3 linked regions of the Bombyx mori genome follow. Each later gene encodes a partner of the first gene's protein in a complex. Links are inferred from orthologs where the notes say so. Each region holds a gene or a part of one and is shown in the gene's direction. Other genes may lie near its edges. The genes, in order: condensin complex subunit 2, structural maintenance of chromosomes protein 4 and structural maintenance of chromosomes protein 2.

Region 1 (9,591 bases):
GTCACGATGCTCGTATGGATAACTTGCAAACTGCTTCCACTGTGGTTGATGCTTCTGCTAGAATATACTCATTCAGAGTTGATGCCGTGCATTATGATGTACTTAAAATGGCTGGTGGTTTAATTAAAGCTGCTCAGGTAAACCACTGTTTACTAATACTATTTTTACTCTTGATTGACATTAAATGTATAGTTCCCATTGTCATCCTGCACCTGATCTGGACCGTTTTAAGGTATTTAGGGTATTTTCTAAAAGTGACTTCATACCATCATCACAATTAGCTCTGTAACCTAAATATTTGATTCGAAAGATACTAAATTCAATCCAGTAGTCCTTTCACCTTGTTCTCAACCAAATGAATTTCTCATTTACTGTTATTGGTGGAAATGATAAACTACTACCGTAAAATTAATTACAATTATGCAATAACATCTTTATTCCAGTCAAAAAGAGGCAAAAAAGATGATGAAAATATACAAGACGAAGGTGCATTAGATGGAGATGTGAATGCTGCACCCATTAAGAAAAAAAAGAAACGATCTAAAGGAGCGATAGCAGCAAATCCAGAAGTTTTTAATGGTGATTTCGACATCAATGACTGTATAGGTAAGTTTGTATACCTACATGCTATCCCCGTGCGTTCCAGAAGGCTATCCATATGCATATTACCAAAAATACAACAAAAACGTAATTAATGAACCTATGAGTTAATAAAATAAAATTTTAAAACTGTGTCTACATATTATTTCAATTATACAATTTTAGGATAAATGGAATTTAGATAATTCCATTTATCCTAAAATTGTTTAATTTAATCTCATATGCTACAATTTTATTCTTAATGAGTGATTGGACCTTATAAGCCACTATGATGAACACAGGTGTCTAGATAAACACTAATTACAATTTTAAATATTCTTTCTCTAGTAGGCTCATGGGTGCTGATAGAAGTAGTTTGTAATTTTTTTTTAAAAACAGTGTGTTTTATATAGATCCATTTTTTGAGAGGCTGGCCGCAACTACAGGAGATGTCACATCATCAAATAGAGCGTTCAATGCTACATTACCAATTCATGACAAAACTCTTGCGCTTATTCTGAGGTAAGAGTAATGGAAGGAGTTGATCATTGTGTTTGACTAATTCTCATTAATGTTAAAATCTAAATGCTTAATATGGTTTAGTTGTATAGTAATTGAAGTATTTAAAAAAATATTCCAACAGCCTAATTTTAAGTAAAAAAGTAAAATTTGATTCATCCAATGTAAAAGAAATTATATATAATTAATTACTTAATTACTCTTAATTGCAAATAGTATTCAAACAAAAACTTAAAGTGATGTATTATTTTTTGGTAGCATGCAAGATTTGTTTGTTTCATTATGCAGGACCGACACCAAGTTTTTAGAACCTGTCAAGGAGAACATCCCTGAAGAGTTGGACTTGTCACACCGCATCACCCTCGCCGTAAAGTTACTGCCGCCGTTTTTAGAAACGGATGCATTATGTGAGCCTTTCACGGGTTTCTCTATAAGCAATTGGGATCCGGATACCGAAGACAAGTTAGTGCCATAATATATATGCTGAATGAAACATTTGGCTATTTTCTAAGAGTTCCAACCAACACAAGGGATACAATTCTAAATCTAAATTTATCAGACATCTCATGGTCGAGCGCGCGCATTGTGTCTCGGCGATAAATTTTTTTTTTTTTATACATTTGGGTATAGTATCCAATGTTGGACTTTAGTATAACAATTTTATAGGAACAATTTTTGTGAATGCAACTTTATTTTGCTTGACATGTTTTGAGGATGAAATCTACAAATACCAAAGTGTAGATATCAGACACTGATACAAAATGATTAGCTACGCATCATATGTGTTGTGCAAAATTATAATTTAGTTTTAACATTAATTTATTGATTGTTTTAATAGAAGTAGATTCTATAAAAATAAAAAATGTGGTTTTGTATATTGTTATGTTATGGGTATGGTTAAAATAATTCTTATAAATTTTGTAGTGGGGAAAACAGAGTGACAAATTGGGTGGAAGAGAACAGATTGAATCTATCACAGCAAGCCTTGGCTTTTGATGTCAATGCTGAAGTGGAGCCGATACCTCAGGATGACTTACACAATGATTTGTATGGTGAGTTTTGCAAACTGTACAATAAATGTTGTTTTTCAACAACACCTCTTGTGAGTCCGCACCGGTAGGTACCATCATCCTGTCTATTTCTGCCGTGAAGCAGTAATGCGTTTCGGTTTGAACCATGGGACAGCTGTTGTAACCATATTGAGACCTTTAAGGTCAATAGGTAAGGTATGTTATAGGTCTCTATGGGCAGTGAGCTCGTTCACCCATCTAAGCAAAAAAAAAAAGATCGATGCGTTTTACGAGTAAAGGTTAACGTTTGCAGACGATGAGCCGCTGGGAGGCGTGGAGAGCGGCGAGGAGGCGGACGCGGCCGTGGCGGCGTGCGTGGCGCGCGTGGCCCTCCCCGCGCCCCGCCTGGCCGACGCGCGCCCCTCCGCGCCGCACCACGCGCGCCTCGAGTACTCCTACTGCTCCCTGGCCGCCGCATGGGCGGGGCCCGCGCACTGGAGACTCAAAAACAACAGAGGTTCTTAATTCTACCTATCTATAAGGCTACCTTCGCACGGGCTATATATTCAATTCACTAAATATTGAATAAATATATGTCTGAGTAGCCACATTTATTAACATCATCGTCAGAAATGGTAGGGGCGAATAGGGTGATCGAGCTAAGAGAATTAATGAGCACACCAATCACGTTTGTTAGAACGTCACGTTTGTTGTTATTGTAGTTGTTGTCTTAGATCAATTTAGAAATCTTCTCTTGGCGTTAGCGAACGAAAACGAATGACAGTTCTTAGGATGGAGACACCCCTCTTCAAGAATGCTGATTGGTAAGTGTGATAGCGTCTACGCGCCTCCATCGGCTAGGCTCTGTCGTAGTGGTCATCGAAGTTAGCCGAGTTCCGATGTTACCGCAATGGTGCTGCCATCTCTCGGGAATCGTGCTGCATTTCGTTTAGCTATCAAACTAATGACCGTCCCAAACATATGAATCTTCTGTTTAATTTGATAAACTGTCACTTTATTTAGTTTAAAAACAAATAAATAATTGTAATCCAATAAAATCGAAATATTAACTTTCTCACTTAATCTTTATTTACCGTAGCAAACATAATTAATCATATTTTAACATTGGCTGTACAGCATCAAAGCTTTCCGAGCGAACGCAATCGATGGGCGGGCGGCTGATGGCGGACGGCAACAAGAAGCCGGCGCGGACGAAGCGGCAGTTAGACTTCGAAGGCGCGGGACTCACGTTCGACTGCCGGTCCGCGCCCGTCGGGGACTACGAGCCCATCCAGCCGGCCAAGATCATGATCAGCAGGAAGACGCTCGCCACGGGACACACGTGGAACGAGACCAACTTTAAAACTCCTATTGATAGGTAGAGTGTTTTTTATTGTCAGGCTTCAGGATACTATTAGTACTTTCTATGTACAAAAAAATCTTAAATATATATATATAAAAAAAGTTATTAAACTTAAATGCAATTCTAAACTAATGACGAATTCGTCGGTAACCATGAAAACTCAAGTTTTCGAAATGTTGGAAATTCTTTAATGATAATATCAAACTGTAATATTTTCCCTTTTGAAGTGAAACTTCCTTATCGGCGTTGGAAAAAAATTTACCGTCACATTTTTCGGTTACGCGTCACATTTTTCCGTTACGCGCCATCTTTTTTGTATTCATGTCTATGATAATAAAATCCTCTTGTTTAAACTTTATCTAATTTAACTTTTTTGTATTCATGTCTATGATAATAAAATCCTTTTGTTTAAACTTTATCTAATTTAACTTTATTTAACCAATTTCTAGAAAGTTGCATGTAGATCATTTTTCGAAAAATAAGGCCATAAAGAAGTTTCACTTCTTACGTGTGTACACTAGTACACGCACACATTTTTTTTATTATATGTTCCTTCTTGTCTTTACCCCTTAGATGTGGTCCCCACAACATGTTTACTCTTCTGTCGAAATCAGAAGTTAGTAATTTCGTAGGACCAATTACAAAAATTTGTATGGAGTTGGAACGTTTCCCTACGTTTGGCGCTAAGGGCGCTGCATACAACTTTGAGTTAACTTTTACGCTATCGAGGACATTAAAAAACTCGCACTAAGCACACAGGTCAGCAGCACCTAAGATAGTTTCGAGTTCTATTTAATCCATTCTTTGCGCAGAGGTCTGGACGAATCGCACTTCTGCAAATTATTTTTACTGCGTAAAGTGACGATGTCGCGGAAACGTGACAACGAACACAGCAAGCCCGAGGAGCCCGTCACGGTCGAGGAGGTGCGCGACTACGATTACAATAATGAAAATGATGCCTCATATTGTCCCAACATACCGCCGGTGAGTACATTCACAATTCTACAATCCTATATTCTCCCAGTCAGTGATGTTAGAAACTCGCAGTTGATGCTGTTTTTCTCAACTAATTACAATAATAATCAACTGGTTGAGGTCGTGCGATACTCATATTAAACAATTTGACCGATAAATCTAATGACATCTATTATTGATATTTTATTGTATGTATAAAATTTGTATTCGTTAAGATTGTTAGTTGTACTTGTTAATATTGTTTACCTAATCTAATCAGTTTTAAAAATAATCAAACATACTACCGTATTCTGTCGTTAAAAAAGTAATATTTGAAAAGCTAATTTTTACTGGTGGTAGGACCTCTTGTGAGTCCGCACGGGTAGGTACCACCGCCCCGCCTATTTCTGCCGTGGAGCAATAATGCGTTTCGGTTTGAAGGGTGGGGCAGCCGTTGTAACTATACTGAGATCTTAGAACTTATATCTCAAGGTGTGTGGCGCATTTACGCTGTAGATGTCTATGGGCTCCAGTAACCACTTAACACCAGGTGGGCTGGGAGCTCGTCCACACATCTATAGAGCAATAAAAAAAAAAGCAATATCACAAACATAACTTAAGTTGTTGTTTTTGGTAGGATGCTGACGAGTGGGGCAACGAGGACGCCACGGCCGCCGGCGACCTGCACGAACAAGTCAAAGCCGTAGAACTCGAAGACATCGGGGACATGCTCGAACCACCAACAAAAGTAAGTTCGATCGTCACATTATTGATCCCGATTGATCTACGACAGTGTACAGGTTTCATTCCCAGTTGGATATGAGTTAGAAGTCTTGTATGTGTTAAGAATATTTGTAACAAAAAAAAATAGTTTCGTCTTGATGTCGTTTTAGATTTACTCATACCCAAGGATAAATATATATAATTATTCTATTCTTCTCTTGTGTGCTTCGTGCGAGTTTTTTAATGTTCTCGATAGCGTGAAAGTTATCTCAAATTTGTATGGAGTTGGAACGTTTGCCGCTAGGGGCGCTGTTCCAACTGCACTAACAACAATACACTAACACAGAATTACAACGAAACATATAATGTTCCGCATCCGTATTCCAACAGGTGGCCAAAATATTCATACCATACGCGATGCGGGCGAAAAAGGTCGACATGAAACAATTGAAAAACTGTACCTGGAAGATGCTCACTGAAAAAACTCCAGAAGGTTCCAAAGACGAGGTCACGGAAACGTCATTCTTTTCGATTTATTCCAGACTTCCGAGCAAACTGACGCCGAATATGAGAGAATCATTAAGTGTACCATTAGCTTTACTCTCAATTTTGCATTTAGCAAACGAAAAAGGATTGATTTTAGAGAAACAAGAAGACCTTAAGGACTTTGGCATAATAGGTTTGATAAAATAATAAAACAACTTGAGGTGAGGTTCTAAAATACATATAAATTTAAGCATATTCCTCACTACCTCCACTGAAAGCATGGCTTGTAGCGAAACTTGTGTTTTGAATACTCTAGTGTTTAGTATCTCAAATATGACCATAAAATATTAGTTAGTCACAAATTTTGATTGTTATTTACATTAATTTTTTAGTGAATTTATTGAAAGAAAAGAAATACCTAAAAGCCATTATTACCTGAACTACAAAACGAATTGTCTTTGACAACATCCATACATAATTCAATAAATTTGATGCGTCATCTGAGAGCTTACCTTATGTCAAAGTTGTGTATTGAAAGTAAAAAAAAATGTTATTGTAATAAATGTCAGTTTCTTGCAGCAACACTATTCCAGTTAATTACATTAGTTTCTAGGGTCGCATTTCCTTACTATCCTACAGATGATTAAATAATGTGCTATTATCAACGTTTCACAATTAGAAATGCAATGGATGTATGTACCGTAATTAAATATTGAATCTTGTAAATAAAGTTTTGACATGTGTCAAAATATATGAAAAAGTTTGTGAAAACATTGTATAGATGTTTTTAGAATAGACTTTATTTTTATATTTAAGTATTGAATAATATTTAGATATGTATGCAAGTACCAAGCTCGTTTTTTATTTTATATTCCCTGGCTTTTATTATTTACTATCAAAAGAGCAGTGAGGTAATCTATACATCAACAGCAAAAAAGGTAGATGGATAAGAAACATCCTTAATTTTTTTTATTGCCCGTGTAGCCAGACAGCCACATGGCCCACCTGATGGTGAGTGGTTACCGTCGCCCATGGACTTCAGCAACGCCAAGGGTAGAGCCAAGGCGCTGCTTACTGTTAAGTACGCTCCACAAGCCTCGTTTGAAGAATGTCATAGCGCTCGGGAAACATCGTGGAGGGGAGCTCATTCCAAAGTCGGATGGTACGTGGCAAAATCTCTGGAAACGCACTGTGTATGAACGCAGTGGCTCCAGGTAGTATGGATGAACTCTACTCCGGTAGCGGGCGGTGCGATGGTAAAAACGAATTGATGGGACCATTTCAACCAATTCCTCAGACCACTCCATGAAACATATGGTACAAAATACAGCGAGAACCGAAGTCCCTCTGCAGAATCAGAGGTTTCAAACGATCCGTGAGATCGGGATTATCGACAATCCGAACAGCCCTCTTCTCTATAGAGTCAAATAGAAGTAGCTGGTATTTGGAAGATCCGGCCCAGAGGTGGGAGCAGTACTTCACGCGAGGCCAGACTTTTGCTTTATAAAGCAAAAGCCTTTCTCTAGGCGCGAAGTACCGTTTCGCTCTGTTCAGGACGCCTAGCATTTTGTACGCCAGCTTGGCTTTGCCGTCCAAATAACTTCGAAATTGGACATCGCTCAAAATGTCGACCCCAAGTATCCCAATACAAGTAAAAGGTTGCAGGGATACTCCTTCGTCTAGCCTAGTAGTATTATTTACTTTTTAGATTTAAATGGCGACTGTGCAAGACATTCGCGCATCGAAACAACGAAAATAAAATTAATCGGATGTGGCACTGTTACAAGCCATACATGTAATTTGATTTTTTTATTGCATGCATGGACGGGTGAATGAACTCACGGCCCACCGGGTGTTACACGATTACCGGAGCCCATAGACATCACTACGTGAGACATGAGGTCTAAATCTCAATTGTATACTAAAACGGCTGTCCCACTCTACAAACTGGAATCCATTACTGCTTCACATCAGGAATAGAATGGCTGGTGGTACATAACTGCCTCGCAAGACGCACCACGACCAGTAATTACAACAATTTGTTTTTTTATTGTTTAGGTTGATGGACGAGCTCACGACTGGTGGTAGGACTTCTTGTGAGTTCGCACGGGTAGGTACCACCGCCCTGCCTATTTCTGCCGTGAAGCAGTAATGGGTTTCGGTTCGAAGGGTGAGGTAGCCGTTGTAACTATACTGAGACCTTAGAACTTATATCTCGAGGTGGGTGGCGCGTTTACGTTGTAGATGTCTATGGGCTCCAGAAACCACCTAACACTTAACACACTTAGCATTAAAATAATATTAGGGCTGCATCATAATTTGGAAGAGAAGGTCAAGGAAAAGATGAAATCAATAGATTTTAACACATTTATTCAACTGTACACTGATTCACAGTAAGAGCTTTCATGGAAAATCACAAGCACAGTTACCGACAGATCACCTAACATTACAATTTGACTGTGCCACGGCTTCGCAGTGGCAAAATGCTATAAACATAATTACATAAGATAATACGGTTTCGCGTCTACGGGACCACGCATGGTAACAAAGTCACAGCAAGCCACCCCGTGTAACAAAGTAAACACGCGATGGTAGATAAAATAAATTAATTTAATTATAAACAATTAACATGTTACTGTGCCTATAGAAAAAAAAAAAATTGTCTAAAACATTTGTTTTGCTACTTGTAAGTTGTTGGCGTTTATTTCTTAGAAACGGGCTTGTAGGCGAGCTTTCTAGACTTGAGCGTGGACCACTTGTGCCGCTTGTAGTAGTAGACAACGGCGGCAAGCATGGAGAACATGCCGATAGCTTTGATGGTCATCTGCCGACGGTCGTCCAGTTCGGGTTCTGAGCACCATTTCAAGAAAGTCGCAACATCCTTGGCGAGCTGTGACGCAGTCGCCGGCGTGCCGTCACTGTACTCAGCTGCCTGCCAAACATAATATAATATTTAGAGAGGGCGTTGATATTACTCGTATGTGTATAGAAAATAATATATAATGCAGTCTATTCTTCTTGTATAAGGCTAATTTTGTTTGTTAATGAAATATCACCAATGGACATATATAACGAGTTTAGAATTATCCATGAAACTTACTTCGTCAAATAGAACTTGCGCCATAGAGATGGCACCTCCTGGGAAGTATGGATTGTAGTTCTGTCCCTCACGTAGCACTACACCAGCAGGAGGTTCCATGTAACCAGTCAGTAGCGCGAAGATGTAATCTTCGCCGCCCTTACGTCCCGAGCAGATCAGAGACAAGTCCGGTGGGTAAGCACCTGATATCAATTAACATTTTTATTATTAGTTTTGTATTTAGGGAGTCAAGCATAATCACTTATTAACTTGCACTATTTAAATTTGATCTTTAAAATCCAGATAAAATTTTCTCTTCTATTTCAATAATTTCATTAAATTTAATAATACTAATATGTTTTTAACACCAATGCATAATACCTTTGCAATTTTTTTTAATGTAAATCTATTAAGTGAAAGTTTTTTTTTTTTTTTTTTTTTTTATTGCCCTTGTAGGCAGACGAGCATACGGCCCACCTGATGGTGAGTGGTTACCGTCGCCCATGAACTTCAGCAATGCCAGGGGCAGAGCCAAGCCGCTGCCTACCGTAAGTGTTGTTAAGTGGAGCCATGTGCCTTGAGACGTAAGCTTGATGTCTCAGTTTCATTTTATAATGACTTCCATCTTTCAAACCAATACCCATGACTGCATCTACCATCATAGTAAGAGGCATGGCAATTATTAAAAATATTAACTACCCAGACCTTTAGAAATCAAGGTTACTTAGTTTCCCTACAGGATTTCATGACATTGATTTCTTGTGGGCCCATTCACAAATGATACTAAGATTTTGCTCTGCATTTTATTATTTTCTACACATACCATTGTTTGCAGCACGAGCCGCATTTTCATTGGGGTATGGAGACGGCAGGTAGTC
Region 2 (10,408 bases), on another chromosome or scaffold:
TCATTCTCGTGTGTCCCCCCTACCGCCAGTGATTGACTTACACAAATTTTAGAAATGCCAAAATTTCATTCCTGTGGTAGGACCTCTTGTGAGTCCGCACGGGTAGGTACCACCGCCCTGTCTATTTCTGCCGTGAAGTAGTAATGCGTTTCGGTTTGAAGGGTGGGGCAGCCGTTGTAACTATACTTGAGACATTAGAACTTATATCTCAAGGTGGGTGGCGCATTTAAGACAGTCTGTAAATAGTCGTATGTCCTGTAAAAGAGGTTGCACGCCACGACAGATATTACACTTAAGACATATTTAGCCATTACTACAAGACTGTCTGATGGTGTATTTATGAAATTTTAAGAACGCAACAACTTTCTTATTAGTAAACAAGTTAGGAATATTTCTGATGGATAATGTAATTAGCAAAAAATACATATAGTGTTTATGACGTCACTGTCATTAAAACAAAGATGTGCGAAAGAGATGGGGAGATTCACTATCCAATCAGTCTCTCATTAAATCCAAGCTCAAAACATAAACAAATATGCCATTTTAGATGTAATCTTGTAAGCGCATCTTGTCTGATCAATTGTGCTTTTACTAAAATTTGTATTATTGAACAGGAATGCAAACAAATCGAAAGATAAGATCAATCAGATGGACGCAGATCTCAAAGAAACTGATAAAACTCTAGAAAGTCTGAAAACACAGAAAAAACAACTCGTTTTGGACAGCGAACAATATCAAAAGCAATTCGAAGAGGTGTGTACGGTTACAAATATTACTTTTCTGTTAAATGCCTATATACGTGATCTTCTTTGGTAGTAATTTTGGCTATATTTATATATTACGAGACAACTCCTTAGTTCTTATCTTATCACCTTGCTTCTTGCTTGTTTCGGTGAATTTGGGTCTGGACTATAAAAGGACAGTTTTTGGACTGTTCGACTTCGCCCAGCACGTAGGCGGAAAAAAGACCTACTTTATATTCTGCCAAGTATATAGTTGTGAGAATTGAGATCAGAATTCGAGAAATCGTTTTGTTGTCACATAAAGTGAACAGTTATTGAAAAGATGACGTTATTGAATTATTGAAACTAGAGGACCCGCAGTAGTCGAAATTCGACTATAACTAATTGGAATTGTAAGTTTGTACACTATTACGATTGTATTTTATACTTCTATAATCACAAATTTCGCCAAGACTACACTATAAAAAATATTAACAAAGACAAACCATATTCTATTCTCAATTTGACAAGACGTCAAGAACAAAAGTTTGACAATAAATAGTATGCATGCGTGTGTGCGTCAAATACATGGTATGTAGTGTGTGTAATCTTTTCTTTATTGATTTAATGTATCTTTTATGCATTCTTTAAAAAAAATATTAGCATTGTGCACTTCTTCTCTATATTCTCTATAAGTGAGGAAAATTTCATACTCCTCTGTCCGCGCAATTTTCGTAAAAAAGGATACAAACTTTTTGCTTCACGTATTAATATATAGATTGAAGTTTTATTTGTGCCTACATTTATTGCATAATAGCACGGAGACTTTTATATATTCGTATCTATATTAAAAAACAAAGATTCAACTTCAAAGGAAGAAAATACTCGTAAAGGAGTAATAATATTTTGATATATTATTAGAACATTATACAAAGAAGTTTATAGGGTTATTAATTACATATTATATTTTGTATAGTGGTTAATTAATTGCATACTTCACCATAATTCGACAACCGACCCACATCCTAATATATTCATAATGTTTATCTTACTTCTTAACATGAGGAGGATTATCATTGCAGTTGGAGGAGGAAATCAACGAGGGCACCAGTGAATTTTCAGAGCTTAAACAGGAGATAGCGAAATTACAATCGAAAGAAAATAAGCTGAAGAGTGAGCGTTTAGAAGCTGCCAATGCTGTTAGCAAAATGGAGAAGTCCGTGCTCGACTGCAAGAGCAAGATCCCTCTGTGGGAAAAAGAGGTGGGTAGTTGTTTTTTTTTTTTATTTCTACTGCAACTCAGGACTTTTTGGCGGGAACGCGAGGAGTGAAGTTGTGTGATTTGTTTTATTTTGTCTATTTAGTGTTTGTTCGGGTTTAAATGTGTAATAATGGTTGTTTATTAACTGTTTAATATCTGTGAAAGTGCACAAATGTGGGAAAATGAAACAAAGCCGCTGGACGTAACTTCTCGGAATCCTCCAAAAAATCCACTGAAAAAATCTTAGTAAATGACCACCATTTTACTGAGATTAAATTTCATATTTCATCTCATTTTTTTTATTGCCATTGTAGGCAGACGGGCATACGGCCCACCTGATGGTGAGTGGTTACCGTCGCCCATGGACTTCAGCAATGCCAGGGGCAGAGCCAAGCCGCTGCCTACTATTTAATTTCATCCCAGTTGATTAATGTCTCAAATTAATCATCTTCATTTCATTTCACTCCATAACATCATTTTTCATAAAAATATGAATATACATTAAAATAAGACATGACTTAAAGGTCTCAGTTACCAGGTCATAAAATCCCTTAAAAAAACTGCAACTCACGTGGTTGAGTATCCTAAACTCAATATAATATATACTCAACTGATATATTATTTTATATATTTAGTGATATTCGCCAAGAACATGTATGCTAGGTTTTATTAATTATTAAAAATAAACAGTCACTTTACAATTTAAAATGAGTAGAGCTTTCTACTATTTATTGATCACTAAATCATTTACTATACCTCTAATTAATAATTTTGTATTCAGCTATCAAGTCTAAGGTTAGAAGACTCGGGATTAGACGGCATCCCTGGGGTGGAGAGGCCGGAACCGCTGCGTCAGCACACCCCCGAAGAACTGGAGGAGAGTTCTGTGGATGATCTGAGGAATAAACTGGCAGCTCAGAAGAATAGAGTGGGAGATAATAAACCTAACATACAAGCGATACAGGTCAGAATACTGTTTTAAATAATGTATTCAAATTCTTATGAAAATACGGTAACATTTAAAAAAAGCATTTTAACACACTTAGTATTTTTTTTTATTGCTTAGCTGGGTGGACGAGCTCACAGCCCACCTGGTGTTAAGTGGTTACTAGAGCCCATAGACATCTACAACGTAAATGCGCCACCCACCTTGAGATATGAGTTCTAAGGTCTCAAGTATAGTTACATCGGCTGCCCCACCCTTCAAACCGAAACGCATTACTGCTTCACGGCAGAAATAGGCAGGGTGATATAAAACTTATATGACGAAATTTTTCAATGAAATTTTCACCATGTTCAAGATGTCTAATTACCCTGAAAAATTTGCATACGTGTCAAAGAGAAGAACCACTATGATACAAAATAATCATTTCTTTTATTTCGGCTTTGCTGTTAAAGCATTTATTTATTTATTTCACATGATGTTATTATTTTAAAAGTTGTAACGATTTTTAAAGTCGTTTCGATCCTAGTTTTTTACCTCAGTGGCGGTGGGCGCAAATCACGATCCACCATTTCTTCACTTTTCCTCTTGTAAAAAAACCTTGTTGTATTTCAGGATTACAAAGCAAAAGAAGACTTATATATAAAGCGCGCCGCCGAATTGGACGAGATAACTACAAAGAGAAACGAAATGAGGGCACTTTATGAACAACTCAGGAAGAAACGTTCGACTGATTTCTTAAGCGGTAATGTATTCACTGGTTTTGAAGTATTGTGTAGGGAGGCGTCATGGCTACCTCCCGGCCTACCTCGTCCGGTGCGTACGGACTGCCATTACAATATACAACAGGGGTTTGTAATTTTAATGCAAACGGGTGTAAATACTGGTGGTAGGACCTCTTGTGAGTCCGCGCGGTAAGTACCACCGACCTACCTATTTCTGCCGTGAAGCAGTAATGCGTTTCGGTTTGAAGTGTGGGGCAGCCGTTGTAACTATACTGAGACTTTGGAACTTATAAGGTGGTTGGCGCATTTACGTTGTAGATGTCTATGGGCTTCAGTAACCACTTAACACCAGGTGGGCTGTAATGTCATCCACCCATCTATGCAATAAAAAAAAAAACGTGTTCTTATCACGAATTACAAAAGCAAATTCGTAAAAATATGAGCCGTAAGTATGTTTTTAACCCTGGGGAATCTTACTCAAGGTCAGGAGGGGTTCAAGTTATGTCAGACTTCTCAAAAATATTCCTAGATTTCTACTCGATGTAGTAAAACTTTGCAGAGACATCTGTACTAATATTATAAAAGGGAAATATTTGTTTGTTTGTATTGAATAGGCTCCGAAACTACTGAACCGATTTGAAAAATTCTTACATTGTTTGGAAGCTACACCGAGTGACATAGGCGATAATCTTTTTTGAAAAATATTAGGGATCCTTACTAAAACTCCAATAATGTATCCCAATAGGTAAAAAAAAGTGTGTGTGTCCGCTCCGACGCACGACTGGAGTTTACTGGATATAAAAAATTAAACGAAACAATACGAGAAATAGTTCTATATTACGACAACACGATACACTACAGATTATTAACAAATTAACGAGACACAAAACAAACGACTAACAAATATATGAAAATACAATAATGAGAGAAACGCGCGATCAGTACGAGGCTTTGTGGCGGACTGCCGGCGCAGCAGCCCGGCGTCACCTGCGATAACGCGGCCGCGCGTTGGCTCCTGATTGGCGCGCGCACGCATCACGCAATCAGGAGCCAATCAGGCGCATAACGCATTTCGTGTGACATGCTAGTACGATTTTGGTCCCCATAATTTTCATACCCCGGGCCTATATATGTAAATCGATTCTAAAGGAGTAAACTCCAAAAATTACCTAAAATAATCTTTACATCGCGTGCCTGCGAAAACTATTGATGGTATAATAAAATAATGTACTACTGCTTTGTAGAACACATTATTATTTACCAAAAGTGTCGGGACAGCATATGTCTAACTATTGTAGTTATGTCGCAATAAGTGTTCTTTTATTTAAAAAAATAAAACAACGTCAAATATCGTTGAAATTTTTGTTAAAGACCCGAGCGGAGCCGGAGCGGGCCGCTAGTTTAGTGTAAAGTTCGAAACTCCAATTCTGTACAATAAAAAATAAACTTTTCCTTCCAGGATTCAATACGATAACAATGAAACTGAAAGAGATGTACCAAATGATAACATTGGGAGGCGACGCTGAACTAGAACTTGTTGACTCGCTGGATCCATTCTCCGAAGGGATTATATTCAGGTATTTTGTTTTAAGGATCGTACTATACCCGATCCTGCGGACCGAATGGAAAGCAGTCGACGTCGCCCCAAACACGTCATTTTGGATCCTCCCGATCCACTAACGGTGCTTTTAGGTACCTCAAGCACCGGTCACCGTCCTCGTTGAACCCGTCGCTTGCAACGAAGGGCTCGATAAGTAAACTAACCCACAGACACGGTCTACTGAGTTTCTCGCCGGATCTTCTCAGTGGGTCGCGTTTCCGATCCGGTGGTAGATTCTGCGAAGCACGGCTCTTGCTAGGGTTCGTGTTAGCAACGTCCTCAGGTTTGAGCCCCGTGAGCTCACCTACAAGCTCGGCTAATCTAGAATAACCCCTAGAGGCTACTAGAATAGGAAGGAAAAAAATATATATATTCGTACTGGCCTATGATAATTTATGGAGTATTTTTATATAAAGCCTCTTATGTGTTTAGTAATAAAATTATAATTCCCTTGACTGGTCTTCATCTCGAAGTCTCAATTGCATATATTTTAATGTTTAATTCTTCGTAATGTAAGTTTATTTCTAAAGAGTATTAAGGCAATGGCGCCGATTCGATATATGCGATTAAAATGTCTGAAATGCAAAATTTCGACTAGTGGTAGGTAGCATGTGCTGTGAGTCCGCGCGGGTAGGTACCACCGCCCTGCCTATTCTGCTGTGAAGCAGTAATGCGTTTCGGTTTGAAGGGCGGGGCAGCCGTTGTAACTATACTTGAGACCTTAGTACTCATATCATATATAAGGTAGGTGGCGGAATTTACCGTCTAGTTTTTTTTTTTGCTCCGCTAACCACTTAACACCAGGTAGGCCGTGCGCTCGTCCACTCATCTAAACTATAAAAAGTAAATCTATACATAATGTGTAAAATAACTATATTTGGGCCTGTATTTATCAATGTTATGTAAGTAAATAAGCAGAAGAGTATAAAATGACAGACAAAAATAGCACATAAGATTTGCTTAAAATCAACTTTATTAAAATTAACAATTAATAAGTAGTTAGTTTTGATTAAAAACAATCTTTATATTCATAGGTATTTATTGTAAAATCACAATCAAATAACATTGAATTTAAAATTCTTCTGGGTTAACTAACATAATCTAATCTAAGTAATTAGTTAAAAGTTAAGTAATCAGTTCTTTTACACACATTACGGGCAGCGCATTCGGTTTTGTATAGAATGCCTAGGCAAAGTATAAAATGAAAAATATTACATACTTTACCTTAACGTTTTAGGTATTCTATACATTGCCTAAGTATTGTATAGAATACTGTATTATACAGATTGTCGGTAACACATACAATTTTTCACAATTTTTCCCCGGTCACCGTCCTCGTCGAACCCGTCGCTTGCGACGAAGGGCTCGACGAGCGAACTAGCCCATAGGCACAGCCCACTGAGTTTCTCGCCGGATCTTCTCAGTGGGTCGCGTTTCCGATCCGGTGGTAGATTCTGCGAAGCTCTGCTCTTGCTAGGGGCAGTGTTAGCAACACTCCGGTTTGAGCCCCGTGAGCTCACCTACAAACGTTAGGGTGAAGCTGAAATAGCCTCTCAAGGCTATCAGGATAGGTAGAAAAAAAAAAAAAAATTATTGTCTGTTTGTTCCGGTTAATCTCTGGAACGGCTGGACCAAATTTGACGAGACTTCCACTAATAGGTAGCTCATGATATAAGGAGTAACTTAGGCTACTTTTTCTAGACTTGCTTAGCCCCGCGGCGTCACTCGCGGTACGAAAATAACCGCAGATAACATCGCGGGACTCGGCCAGTAAAAAAAATAATAATCTCACGACACCTAAATAACTCTTGTTTTGTTTACAGCGTGCGTCCGCCGAACAAGTCCTGGAAGAACATATCGAATTTATCGGGCGGCGAGAAGACGTTATCCTCACTGGCCCTGGTTTTCGCTTTACATTACTACAAACCAACGCCTCTGTACGTCATGGACGAGATAGACGCGGCCTTGGACTTCAAAAACGTTTCGATCGTGGCAAACTATATTAAGGTCGGTGACCTTTACATATTAATATATTATAATAATATTACATATTATTAAATACGGGCATTGCTGACGTCCATGAGCGACGGTGACCACTTACCATCAGGTGGGCCGTATGCACGTCTGCCTACAAAAGAAAAAAAATATATATTTTTTTCTTTTGAGGGATTTTATGACCTGGTAACTAAGACATTTAAGTCATGTCTTATTTTAATTTAAATTATTATTTTTTATGAAAAATGATAAATATGGAGTGAAATGAAATGAGATGATATGGGATGAAATATAATCTCAGTAAAATAGTGGTCATCTACTAAGATATTTTCAGTGGACTTTTTAGAAGTTACGTCTAGCGGCTTTGTTTCATTTTCCCACATTTGTGCACTTTCACAGATATTAAACAGTTAATAAACCACCGTTACTACACATTTAATCCTAAAGAAACATTACAATAGACAAAATAAAACAAATCACACAACTTCACTCCTCGCAGATATAGTACAGATACAGTAAGAGCTCTTTATCCACGAGATATGTGTTCCGTAAATATGCCGTGAATATCAAATGGCTATTTAGGTTTTTTTTTTATTATGATCCGATAGACACTGGCGGGTAGCCATCATACAACGCAAGATATTTGACAGATGCCTGAATCTCACTTACGATATTTTCAAGATAAGCTTGCATATATACAAGTTCCGAACAACAATATTCGGACCGTCGGTCTACCGAGCAAATATCACCCGCTCGGTGGAAGATCTTCCCTTTCGTCGTTTAAGCCTCCCAAAACACCTACAATGCAAATGCGCCCCCCACCTTGAGATATAAGTTCTAAGGTCTCAAGTATAGTTACAACGACTGCCCCACCCTTTAAACCGAAACGCATTACTGCTTCAAGGCAGAAACAGGCAGGGCGGTGATTATCTACCCGCGCGGACTCACAAGAGGTCCTACCACCAGTAAATCATCAGTATTAATACTAGCCGCTCTTTGCTAGTGTCGTCTATAACTCTATTCGATTGTTTCAGGAAAGAACGAAGAACGCTCAATTCATAATCATATCGCTTCGATACAACATGTTTGAGGTGTCGAATCGTTTGGTCGGTATATACAAAACTGAAGACTGCACAAAGTCTATAACGATTGAGAACCAGCTACCGGAGCAAGTACGTGTGGACGGTGCGTGAATAAAACTCGTTTTATTATGTATTAATTCATGAATATTGTTTAATTTTTACAATAAAAAATAAATAAATTAATTAAATAACAAACAGTTTATATTATACTGTTTCTTTAATAAACGATTTGGATGTGGTTATGCAAGATGAATGCGTTTTATGTGTCTGATTAAAATTGGTTAAATATGTAACTTTATAAAGCATAGTAATGTATAATAAATTTGAATTGTACTATCAAATTAGGCAACGATATAATCATCCTTAACCTATGGCATATCCTATGGATAATTTATGTTATAATCAGGCTGAGACTAAAATGTTACATATCATGATGTGTAGTGACACAGACTTGGTATATGAAATAGCTTTTTTTGGATAGTTTGCTGGGATTAGTTACTGTTAATGTATAATTCAATCAAGGTACTTTTGCATAACTTCATCCCAATTTAAAAACCGTTTTCCGGCATTCAAAATCACACTTTATTTGTTATATTTAAACAACTGGTTACATTTTTCGTTTTAAGAATATTGCATTAATGTAAACGCTTAGCGTATTTAAAATTAAGGGTTTTGAATGTCGGATGACCTTTTTTTCTTCCTTCAAATATTCATGCAATTTAACAATTTTAATAGGTACGGTAAGAGATACAATAATATTGTGAGGAATGAAATCGTATCGTAACGACCTCACGTTAAATATATCTATATATGAAATAATAAATAAAGCGATTATATCGCCAGTAAGAACAGTCTTAACAATTACCGTTGACTATCGAATATGAAACAGGGCATTGTCTAGTATTTTGTAATATAATTATTTGAAAATATTATAATTCTTATAAATTAGAAATGCAAATTTACAATGATAGATTTCAATTTAGTTAATTAGCTGTTTTATTGATCAATAGAGGTCATGTTCACATTCATTTACTAGAAATTTGAAATCGTATAAATGAATCTAAATTTATTCATATATGTATTCTTCATGGTAAATATGTTCACATATATATTATTATTATGAAAGCCAAATTACAATCAATAGTGCATGGAATGTTTAATTTTTAAAAGGTGATAATGAACTTTTATAGTAGACTTTTTTGAAGAACAAAAATTTTTTTTTATTTTTATTGCAATTTGTTCATTTTTTTAAAAACAATTTAATAAGTTAAAAAAAGTTCACAAACATTAGTGACTTAAATAAAATGTCCACATCTGTGGTCTTTTAAGGTTTTTTTTGGAGTTTACTCCTTTAGAATCGATTTACATATATAGGCCCGGGGTATGAAAATTATGGGGACCAAAATCGTACTAGCATGTCACACGAAATGCGTTATGCGCCTGATTGGCTCCTGATTGCGTGATGCGTGCGCGCGCCAATCAGGAGCCAACGCGCGGCCGCGTTATCGCAGGTGACGCCGGGCTGCTGCGCCGGCAGTCCGCCACAAAGCCTCGTACTGATCGCGCGTTTCTCTCATTATTGTATTTTCATATATTTGTTAGTCGTTTGTTTTGTGTCTCGTTAATTTGTTAATAATCTGTAGTGTATCGTGTTGTCGTAATATAGAACTATTTCTCGTATTGTTTCGTTTAATTTTTTATATCCAGTAAACTCCAGTCGTGCGTCGGAGCGGACACACACACTTTTTTTATTTTTATTGCCTAGATGGGTGGACGAGCTCACAGTCCATCTGGTGTTAAGTGGTTACCGGAGCCCATAGACATCTGCAACGTAAATGCGCCACCCACCTTGAGATATAAGTTCTAAGGTCTCAAGTATAGTTACAACGGTTGCCCCACCCTTCAAACCGAAACGCATTACTGCTTCACGGCAGAAACAGGCAAGGTAGTGGTACCTACCCGTGCGGACTCACAACACGTCCTACCACCAGTAAACGCATATTGGCAGACGTGCCAATGTTATTGAAGAGGTTAAATAAAATACTCTTATCGTCGATATTATTCCTCAGCATTACAATGA
Region 3 (11,126 bases), on another chromosome or scaffold:
ATCAGCAAAAAACTCAGGGATAACCATTATTAGATTATTAGGAACATGTATGTATATTGCTACAAGTCAAATTATAACATTTACCAAATTATATAAAATAAGTAAGGTCTACATTATTGAGCATCAATCAAAGATCTGTTCAGATTTGTTATTAGTAGAAGACAATTTCAAACCCAAAGTTTTGTCTAAATTGTAATAAATTGTGGCCTTATGGCCTAATTGACAAAGGACACAATAAGATACGCTTACCAAGCTAACTATTATTGGTGGTAGGTACTCACCATGTAATATGTAAGTAAAAATTTGGAAATGGGTTGTAGATTCATTGGGATCATACATTATATTGTATACTCACCGTATCTGTGTGTGCAGGCATAGATCCAAAGAACAACAGTGATACACGTCGTCCTATACCTCCTAGCCAACCACTCGGTGGACGTAAAGTGCAGCAAGTCACTGTTGCTCTTCCATCTAATATATAATATAATGTATTATTTAATAACCAGTTTTATGACGTGAACATATGTTAAAACTAAAATGGCAGTACTTGCTGCTGATGACAGATTCATATTTTATATTTCAGATCAACTATACATATACTAAATTACAGCTTTAATTAAAAGTTAGATAAATATGCCAAACAAAAACGTTATTAAATACAACAACAAAATAAACAAGATGACTAACCAAGAACAGTAGGAGTCAATAGCACCACGGTACAAGTCGTAGTAGCCAGTATGAGGCCAGAGCTGGTGTAATCTCCTAGTTTCTCACACTCTTGACCTGCTAGTTCACATGTTACATCTACATAAACCTCTTCTTGTCCTACTGAGGGCCAGTAGCGAATCACACCCTCAGGTGAAACTCCAATACAGGATGGCATCTATAACAATATTTTTGGTATAGTTTTTTTCTTAATAGCTTATATAGTTAAATTTTTTGTTTCTTATGCTAATGGGGTTAAACCATAAATGTGGTTTCAATAATTCTTCAGTTTGTGACTGTTGAAAAGGCATTTAAAACTTTATAGTGAAGGTAAATATCTCAGGAGACTCCACAAATTTAAGACTAATGCTTCCCTTTACATTTGGAGCAAAGGCTCCAAATGTATTTTTCATGTCTTTTTCTCTTATAAATAAATAAATTCTAAAATTCAGTTTTTTATAGTTATACATATGTTTAGCAATTTTTTCTGATTACCTGAGAGTCATTTCCATAAAACAGTACAACTAAATCAGCCTTGTGAGCTAAATCTGTTTGAGGTAATGTGAGCTCTCGAGCAGCTGATATGCCAGTCACATTGGCTGGATCTTCATCAGTATCTATTGGAGATTGCTCCCAAGCCAGGATGCGACGACCAGACACTACCCAACACCAGCCACAGGTCGAGAGGCGCACTGAGATGTCTCCACTTGCTTTGAATTTAAAACGAATTACAGTATTTAATCTAAGCAATCATGCTACAGCAGGTCCAAATTTTAGGTTTTGATACAAATAAGCCAAATGACTGATGAATGATTTTTTGTCTACCCTACTACGATTTTTTTCGAAATGTCTGGAATGAAAAATGCTCATGGTTTTCAGATATTGTAATTAATAGGACGTTGTGTTGATCGGTAACTAACCGAACGCAAGAGCCTCTGTGACCATCACTGGCATAGGTGCCCCGTACGTTTCTAGTGTCATCGATGGAGTTTTATAGATCACATCGCCAGTTTGTTCGCTTTGTGACTGCATAAATTTACTGTAATAAAAGCCGTAAATAAAGAGAAAGACAATAATTTATATAAAACATAACAGGTATAGGTTAAGAAACACACCTTTGGCTTTTTTTCAAGGAAGATAGGCCGCCAGGCCTTCGCCCTGAAATGGACTGTCTTACCCGGGGCGAGAACGGACTTCTCATCGCTCCTGTAGTATTGAAATCCATATCTATAAACTAAAATAAAATGCAAATGAATCGACCCTGCTCAAGCAAAATAATTCAAAACGTCAAATAAAAATCGTTTTTATGTTCCATGTTCTTAAACTTTTTTTAAACATTTCTTTAGCATTAATTGAAATGCAAAGGGACATAGGTTAAAATGTAGCGTTTCAACAGACTTATTCAACAATGTTGCAAATTATATTACAATTTGAATATTTCACAGGGATCCCTATTAACGAAAAAACTTAACAAAACATTTTGATGACAGTTTTATTTTATAAGATACCATTATTTACAGCTAAAGAGTAAGCTTTGTTTAACTTGCCTTTGTCGTGGTCTAAAAATATATTCGTATCGAGCGTATCACTCGATAGTCGTATCAATTTTTTTGTGAAATACTTGGGTAGTGCCACAAATTTACCTATTTATGCCTTAAAGCAGTAATGCTTTTCGATTTGAAGTTTTGGGCAGCCATTATACTGTTAACTGTTTAATTAAACTTAAAACTGAAATCTCAAGATGGTTGGCGGCATTTAAGTTGTTGATATATATATATGGGTCCCGGTAACCACTTAACACCAGGTTGGCCATGAGTTCGTCCACAAACCTAGCAAAAAATATATTTGAATAATGTTCAGGAATGACTTCCACAATTAAGGAAAAACAATTTAAACCTGCGTTAAAATTTAATGTAGGTGAATTAGTACACTATACAAAGACAAGTCTCTAGATCGATGGTGGCATTTACATTTATATATTTCTCAGGCAATAAACCAGTTAAATAGGGATCTGGACTACATATTATTATGTAGTTGGTCAACTAAGTTTGGCTTAACCGTGAATCCAGCGAAATGCCAAGCCATTATTGTGGGTAGTCCTCGTATGGTTCAACGCATAACTACTATATCACTCTCATCAATATTTTATAATGGTACAGTGATTCCCCTAAGTTCCGTGGTTAAGAACCTAGGCCTTTACATAGACTCCACACTCGACTGGAAAGCTCAAATATCTTACGATGGACAAAGAACCTCTGGAATTCTTCGTGCTCTGCATCGCCTCAAGAATTTCTTACCATCAGCGACTAAGACTATGCTAGTACAAGCCTTGATCTTCCCTATAATGGATTACGGTGATGTGTGTTATTTTGACCTGAATGCAGACCTTTTTAATACTTGATCGTCTTCTTAATAACTGCATTCGATTTATTTTTAACCTATTCGTTGTCCCACACATAGTTCTAGTTATGTTCGTAACTCTATCGTCGTGCAATCTGTTCTGCTATGGAATGCGCTTGCTCTTGAGATCAGGACTATTACTAACCGTTGCGCGTTCAAGTTAAGGGTTCGGCGAATGTTGTTCGAAAAGTTAGCGGAATTGTCATTGTGCAGGACGAAACTGATTTTAAATAGTTTTATCGAACAAATACAATTAATATAGTTAATAAGTAATTACGTAACAAAATTGTATAATCTTAAATTATTTAATATGCAATATGTTAGTGTATCAGATCAGAGAATGTGAATAGACCAATAGGAACGATTTGTGGAGCGCTTTCACTACGGTAACATACAGATCAAGGGACCCTCCAAAAGTGGCGCGTCGATAGCGCGTCGCGAGATGGGGTACTGAAATAAATATAAAAGGATGGCCATTTATAGGCAAAAACAGTTCTCAGTGGATCTTCGACATAGAAACATCAGCAAGACAGAAACAGTTCTCAGCAGATCATCAAGACAGAAACAGTTCTCAGCGAATCTCCGACATAGAAACATCAAGACAGAAACAGTTCCCAGTGAATCTTCGACAAAGAACCATCAGCAAGACAGAAACAGTTACCAGCAGTTCTCCAATAGTACAGTTATCAGAAAACCACCAGTGAATCAGCTACCAGTGAACCAGACAGTTACCTGTGAAACCTCGCTACAGAAGCCGAAACCCATCGAAAGAAACAGCCGTCTTCTACCAGCGCACAAACAGACAGCAGAAAATATTATTACACGACTCGGAAACAGCCATACAGACCGGGTCGTGTACAGTCATGAACTTATTAAGTCGGAGCACGTGGTCGAACTCGACTGTGGACGACGGGGGTGCCATACCACCGAACATCCTCCGGTGTGATAGCTCCCTGCCGGAGATCTGCTTCACACAGTATGCAGTCAGGCGGGAGCTCCGACTCCTGGACGTCTATAAGTCGAGTGGGCCAGACTGCATCCTCGCAGTGGTTCTGAAAACGTGCGCCCCTGAGTTGACACCTGCGCTAACGCATTTGTATCGCCTCTCTTATTGTATCCGTCTTCATGGAAGACCCCTTCACGTCCACCCTATCCCCAAGAAGGGCGACTGGTCGGAGCCATCGAGCTATAGGCCTACCGCGATAAGTTCCTTACTTTCCAAGGTGATGGAGCGAATAAAAAATGCACAACTCCTGAAGTATATGATTTTCATCCTGTATATCAATGTCAATGACATGATGTCTATTGATGATATGCATTGCTATGCGGATGACAGTAAGGGGGATGCGCGATATATCGGCCATCAGAGTCTCTCACGGAGCGTGGTGCAAGAGAGACGATCAAAACTTGTGTCTGAAGTGGAGAACTCTCCGAAGCTAATCTCCGAATGGGGCGAATTGAACTTCGCTCAATTCAATCCATTGAAGACATAAGTTTGCGCGTTAACTACGAAGAAGGACCCCTTTGTTATGGCGCCAAATCCAAGGAGTATCCCTGCAACCTTCCGAGAATACCTGGATACTTGGGGTCTGTCCAATTTTGGAGTCATTTGGAAGGCAAAGCCAAGTTGGCGTCCAAGATGCTGGAAGTCCTCAACAGAGCAAAGCAGTACTTCACGCCTGGACAAAGCCTTTTCATCTCTGGGCTAGGGTTACCAAATACGAGCTACTTCGATTTCACTCTATATAGAAAAGGGCCGCTCGGATTGTCGATAATCCCGGATCTCACGGATCATTTGGAACCTCTGGGTCTGCGGAAGGACTTCGCTTTTCTCTGTATTTTGTACCGTATGTTCCATGGGGAGTGCTATGAGGAATTCTTTGAGATGATTCCATCATCTCACTTTTACCATCGCACCGCCTGCCATCGGAGAAGAGTTCATCCTCGCTGGGTATCTTATTCTGTTTGAGATATAGAAGCACTATTTCTTGATATCGATGCTATATGATAACAGCTTTATTAAAGACACTATTGACTACATTCTAGCTCACGCTCGTGCAAAAATCAGCCACTGTCATTTACATCGACAAGTCCTAGTAGATCCATCCGCCCTGCTTTCGATTTGTTGGACATTAGTTCTAATGCTATACGATTACGCTATAATGATACTAGTTCATCGGGCGTTTTATTCTTTGGGCTACAACTTATAAAAGGGTGAGATTTAATGTCTGAGTTTGTAGACTTTTTGGAAGTTGTCAAGTCCACGTCCACGGCCGAAGCCACGGCCTATGATTTTTTTTGCGCTTATGAACTTTCACTACATGGTTAAAATACTTCATTTTCTGTACTTACTACAATTTATTTTAGTTCGAATCAGAATCTATTACATTTGAATCTGAGATGTTATCTATCTTCTTCTTCTATATATATAAAAATGAATTGCTGTTCGTTAGTCTCGCTAAAACTCGAGAACGGCTGCACCGATTTGGCTAATTTTGGTCTTGAATTATTTGTGGAAGTCCAATGAAGGTTTAAAAGGATAGATAAATATGAAAATGCTCGGAATTAAATAAAAATAACAATTTTGTTTTTCCTTTGATGTCCCCCCCGCCGCGCGCCGGACGGATTCCTTTTGTTTGTTTTAAATTTATTTTCTTCAAAGGTTTAAGTCTTTTATTTATTGATAGAGGCACTACGAAGTCTTCCGGGTCAGCTAGTATGCAATAAAGAAAAGAAAAAGAATCGGTACACTTATAATTTTTTACCTCTTTACCATATTGTTAATCTAAATCGAATTAAAATCTTTAAAAAAAATGTTGTCGAGAAAAATATAATGTGTCAATGTCATTAATCAATGAATGTCAAAAATATTTTAAAAACACAAATCAATTTTGATTTCATAAAAAAATCAACGGCTTCTCTAACGCTTGATGAATTCGTATGAGTTTAAATTTTTAATGAATTTTCTTGTTCTATAACTGTTGTTTTTATGATCTGAACATGTTTATTAAGTCAATAGTGTTAGATGGCTTCAAGTCTTACGGAAACCGAGTGGAAATTACTGGATTTGATCCAGAATTTAATGCGATCACTGGTCTAAATGGGACTGGAAAATCAAATATCTTAGATTCTATATGTTTCGTACTTGGAATCACAAATTTATCGAATGTATGTTGTAGTTTATTATTGCTAACAAAATAACAACTGTTGCTGATTTATTTCCCGCCAAATACCATTCACTGTTAAGGGTTATGGCGATATAGTAGCAGCGTTTATTCATGATAATATTCAATTACCTATCAAATATGCGACATAAATCCTATGGGCATCAGAATACATGATGACTTGAAAATAAAAACATACACTTTTCAAGTTCTAGTACAACAATAATATCGATTGATGCGAAGTAAACTCGACAATGATGTTTTCTGCTTCTTTCTGGGTACAATTATAAATAATATGAATATTCCAACAATAAAACATAGTTGCTTCTTGGTCAAAATGCTTGTTTAACAAAATTTGTGCCTAAATTATTAATTAATTTATTATAAAAAAATAGGTACGAGCAAGCAGCTTGCAGGAGCTTATTTACAAGCATGGGCAGGCAGGTATCACCAAAGCAACAGTTAGCATTACCTTCGACAACAGAGATAAGAGACAATGTCCGATTGGCTATGAGAATCATGATGAGATTACTGTCACTAGACAGGTAAGACATAGTTATATTGGAATAGTAATTAGTAATCAACAAAACATCTAGAAATTGAATAACCATTTGCTAAGTTTCCAGGTTCATGAAGCTTCCATTAAATTACTTTATTAAAAAGTTCCAAGAATACAATAGTTCCAAGAATATATACATGATTAATAAATCAATATTCAAATGTTTGAGATGACATGATTTAATACATCATTTACAAATCATTCGATCAAGTAGCTTGACTTTTACTATTAGCAAACCAAGCTAAATTTCATAAGCTTTGCTGAACAAAACAAGAAATAACGTATAGCATTCAAAAGTTATATTTCCTCATCCAAATTTGCTTAATCAAACTAATATAAAGAACATGCTATTTAACAATTATTGAAACAATTTGAAAAATAAATTTCAGGTGGTGATGGGTGGTAAGAATAAATACCTTATAAATGGTATCAATGTCCAAAACAAGAGGGTCAGTGACTTATTCTGTTCGGTTCAGCTTAATGTCAATAACCCACACTTCCTCATCATGCAGGGAAGGATTACTAAGGTGCTAAATATGAAACCTCCTGAGGTAAGCCATACATCAGCTTCAGCAGTTAAATTACTTGTATGACCTTAGTAAATAGTGTTACGAACTGAAGTTCTGGATAAAATAATTATTTCTTACTAGCTGACCAGGCAGACTTCGCAGTGCCAAGACCTAAACTTTTGTATAAAATAAACTTAAAACAAACACAAGGAATCCGTCCGACGGGGGATACATCAAAGGAAAAACAAAATTGTTATTCTTATTGAATTCCGAGAATTTTCATATTTATCTACCTTTTAAAGCTTCTCTGGACTTCCACAAATAATTCAAAACCAAAATTAGCCAAATCGGTCCAGCCGTTCTCGAGTTTTAGTGAGACTAACAACCAGCAATTCATTTTTATATATATAGATAATCAAAAACATATATAGATTATGAATCAAAATCATCAAGTCTAATTACAAAATACTTTGATTAGTACTTTGATAAGTATAGTGACTGATTTCACTATTATGATGCATTAGATTGCATTCAAATCTTGTCTTGGATATGACTTCACTTTAAGTCGTATGATTTTTCTCACTCCTCTGAATGAAATTTAATCTTTCTAAAAGCGTGTGCACTGTAATTTCTAGTAAGGTCTTAATTGCTTTGTGATTTTTTTCTTTCTCTGTACTGTGTGGCATTAGTTGTATTGTATGTTTGAGCTATTTGTGATGATTAAAATATAGGTAGAGACATACAGCCTTAGTAATAAATGTGGTGTAATATCCTTATGCTTCCCAATTCGTGCCATCGTAGGACAGAAAATATTTGACAAATTTTGAAATCACACTAATGGCATTTTCAAAAGAAGCTTTGCATGTGTTAAGCCAGTTACAAACAATATTTGGACTTTTGGTGTATGGAACAAAATTATCTGCTTGGTGGAAGATGTTTCTTATATTGTTTTCCCTCAAACACTTACTAGCCACAATATCAGTAAACTTGAGATCTTGTCTTCTGATATGGAAGATTTCCATTTAACCTTGCTCTGTGGCTGCTGCCCAGCCATTGTTGGCCCTAAGATAAAAAAAAAGCTGTGAGCACAAGAGTTTTATATCCACAAGACAATGTTGATGCTACCACTCTCCCTGAGAACTGAAGTTGAGCTGGCAGTACAACATCCCATGAGCTCGTATAGGTATGTATCACCACTCTGCCTATTTTTGCCTTGAAGCAGTAATGTGTTTCGTTTTTCAAGGGTGGGGCAGTAATTGCACACTGAGGCTTGGATGCCTTTTCCCACGGTGGGTGGCGGGGCTCCCGTATCCACTTAAAGTCAGATGGGCTGTGAGCTCAATGACCTATCTAAGTAATAAAAAAAGGCAAAAAACCTGTGCTGTAATTGTGTTTGACATCCTTGTGAATAAATGAAATGTAACTAATTTAGCTGATCTAATGATTACAAATTTCTTCTAATAATTATAAAATACAATAAACAATAAAAAGGCCATAAGAACATGAACATGGTAAATTGGCACTAGAGACATTCATGTTTAGCATTGGCATCCAATAACCACATTGCACTGAAGGCTAAAATATATACAGCTACAATACCACTTTTTTGTTAGATATTATCAATGGTAGAGGAAGCGGCAGGTACAAGAATGTATGAAGCTAAAAAACAAGCAGCACAGAAAACTATTGAGAAGAAAGATGCAAAGCTCCGGGAACTTAATGATGTAAGTCAATTGTACAATTTTACTGTCACTGCACACTGTACAAATGTCGATTCGTTTTAAAGCATAATATGACACAAATAAAACTATTTTATCACTTCATCAAATTAGTAGATTTCTAGGACTACTTAGGTGGACTTTCAGAACTGCCAATACTTTTTTGAATAAAATAATGATTTTGTAGAAGGGATCACAATTAATCAGATGTAAATTTTTTTGAACTGAACTAAAACTTCTCAGAAAATACATTAAAAGAACTGTTGTGGCAAAATTGTTTCTGTTCAAAATAGATAATAAGAGAAGACATAGCACCTAAACTTCAGAAGCTGCAAGATGAAAGATCTCAGTTCCAAGAATATCAGAAGGTTGTCAGAGAATTGGAGAATATCACCAGGCTGTGTGTCGCTTGGAAGTGAGTATGGTCATTGCCTAAGTTCCTAGTCGCCACAGGACTGCGCGGCCGCCCGTGTGCCTCCCTGTTCAGTGTAACACAAAAATGTCAGTATGTTGAGTACTTCTTAGTATGTTGAGTACTTCTTTCTTTCTGTTTTAAATACATTAAGAAAAGAAAACAATTTTATTGAACATCTCTCTCTACAGTATACATGCACAAGTGTCCATAGTATGTTTATTACCTTCCCCTTCTAAACCACTTATTTACATGATAGAACAAGGCAATATTTTAGCACATCATAGTCACGAAAGTTAAAACGATATCTCCGTTACAGGTATGTTTCTGCTGAAGAGCAAACCAAAGCAGCAGAGGGAAAAGTCACGCAAGTGCAGGACGACATTAAATTGAAAAAAGAGACTATTAAAAACAATGAGAAAGAAATGAAAGAGCTGGATAAGCAAGTTGTTGACTTAAACAAAAAACTGGATGAGGTAAGAGACAGCAGTAAGTCGTCGCTTTTCGTCCGTGAGTCCAGCCCCAGAGCGGGGCTCTTGTCGCATTCTATGCGGTCCGGTGTGAAGGGATACACTTGAGACTTGCACTTTATGTCTGGATCTGGAGCAGAATTCACATAGTAATGGTTATTGGAACTGATATCCATTGTGCATTAGGCAACCATGAGTGCGTTTAATCCATAATTTAAGGAATCTGCTATCAATTCGTGTCGTTATTATTCATCGGATGATGTAGTTAGCTGATAAAGTTTAGACTTTTTATATGTAAACCACTAATCATTTAATTATTGTATCAGGAGAGTGGGAATGTCCTCAAAGATTTGGAAGTAGAACTTCAAAACTTGGAGAAGGTTGAAGCAGCAGCAAGTTCACAATATAAAGGCAGCAAAGAAGCCCTGAGCGGACACGAGAAGAGAGTCAAACTACTCGAAAAGGCACTGGCTGAGGACGAGCAGGCTCTCACATCAAAGCAACAGATTCTTAATGAGGTGCGGTCCCAGCAGGATACACTTGACACTTCTTGAAAGTAAACTGTCTTTGGATGGAAACATTCGAATTACAAAGATAAATTAGAGTGAATCGTTTTAGTCAAATGGTTGGTTAATTGTTTCCGGTGACTCTTTCTTTTATTAATTTATTCATGCATGTGGTTGTGGAAACAATATTTGTGATGCTCAAGCTCAACACACCTCAATGCACTCAAAGAAAACATTTATTTTACCTGCTCTCCATAATATGTACTTGTTTTATATGTGAACTAAATTATGTCCTAAAGACACTCCTTATAATGGCACGGACCTGTACATGCGTGAAGAACTACAATACATCTGTTTAATAACCAATGAATGACCGATATTGTAAGTGTAGCACAGCATTACGAAGAAAACATGGCCTCTGCACTGAACTCTTCAGGTTCGCAGTACTAGCTCACACCCGGTATGCACTGGCTGTCTTTTCTTGGTCTTATGTGGACTCACAAAATATAATCTTGATAAATCTTGACAAAAAGTATTTATGCTTTGTTTACGTTACTCTTGACTTAGTAATTTATTGCTGTATCGGAATCGGATATGGCTTGATACATCCGGTATGTAGGATCCTTGCCTCGATAGACATAAGTATTCAAGAAACTGAAAATGTTTTATTTAACTATTACTAT

The links.
Region 2: condensin complex subunit 2 (region 1) and structural maintenance of chromosomes protein 4 share a complex: the UniProt entries of both Homo sapiens proteins name them as parts of the condensin complex. The link is inferred for Bombyx mori from reciprocal best matches to the Homo sapiens genes NCAPH and SMC4.
Region 3: condensin complex subunit 2 (region 1) and structural maintenance of chromosomes protein 2 share a complex: the UniProt entries of both Homo sapiens proteins name them as parts of the condensin complex. The link is inferred for Bombyx mori from reciprocal best matches to the Homo sapiens genes NCAPH and SMC2.

Annotation. Positions count from the first base shown.
Region 1 is NC_085117.1:9,009,467-9,019,057, reverse strand, and holds the end of condensin complex subunit 2, read left to right. Parts: coding exon 1-137; intron 138-443; coding exon 444-606; intron 607-992; coding exon 993-1,101; intron 1,102-1,386; coding exon 1,387-1,560; intron 1,561-2,022; coding exon 2,023-2,150; intron 2,151-2,421; coding exon 2,422-2,625; intron 2,626-3,245; coding exon 3,246-3,486; intron 3,487-4,283; coding exon 4,284-4,455; intron 4,456-5,062; coding exon 5,063-5,173; intron 5,174-5,538; coding exon 5,539-5,841; 3' UTR 5,842-6,486; downstream 6,487-9,591. Other genes in the region: cytochrome c1, read right to left, coding at 8,336-8,566, 8,735-8,916, 9,537-9,591. UniProt on the Homo sapiens protein: Regulatory subunit of the condensin complex, a complex required for conversion of interphase chromatin into mitotic-like condense chromosomes.
Region 2 is NC_085134.1:4,028,638-4,039,045, forward strand, and holds the end of structural maintenance of chromosomes protein 4, read left to right. Parts: intron 1-614; coding exon 615-753; intron 754-1,804; coding exon 1,805-1,984; intron 1,985-2,736; exon of another isoform or gene 2,737-2,764; coding exon 2,765-2,947; intron 2,948-3,541; coding exon 3,542-3,671; intron 3,672-5,110; coding exon 5,111-5,228; intron 5,229-7,074; coding exon 7,075-7,258; intron 7,259-8,280; coding exon 8,281-8,439; 3' UTR 8,440-8,523; downstream 8,524-10,408. UniProt on the Homo sapiens protein: Central component of the condensin complex, a complex required for conversion of interphase chromatin into mitotic-like condense chromosomes.
Region 3 is NC_085131.1:14,292,613-14,303,738, reverse strand, and holds the start of structural maintenance of chromosomes protein 2, read left to right. Parts: upstream 1-5,963; 5' UTR 5,964-6,105; coding exon 6,106-6,273; intron 6,274-6,664; coding exon 6,665-6,814; intron 6,815-7,217; coding exon 7,218-7,379; intron 7,380-8,950; coding exon 8,951-9,061; intron 9,062-9,348; coding exon 9,349-9,470; intron 9,471-9,786; coding exon 9,787-9,943; intron 9,944-10,263; coding exon 10,264-10,455; intron 10,456-11,126. Other genes in the region: nuclear pore complex protein Nup133, read right to left, coding at 356-471, 688-883, 1,201-1,415, 1,626-1,744, 1,821-1,930. UniProt on the Homo sapiens protein: Central component of the condensin complex, a complex required for conversion of interphase chromatin into mitotic-like condense chromosomes.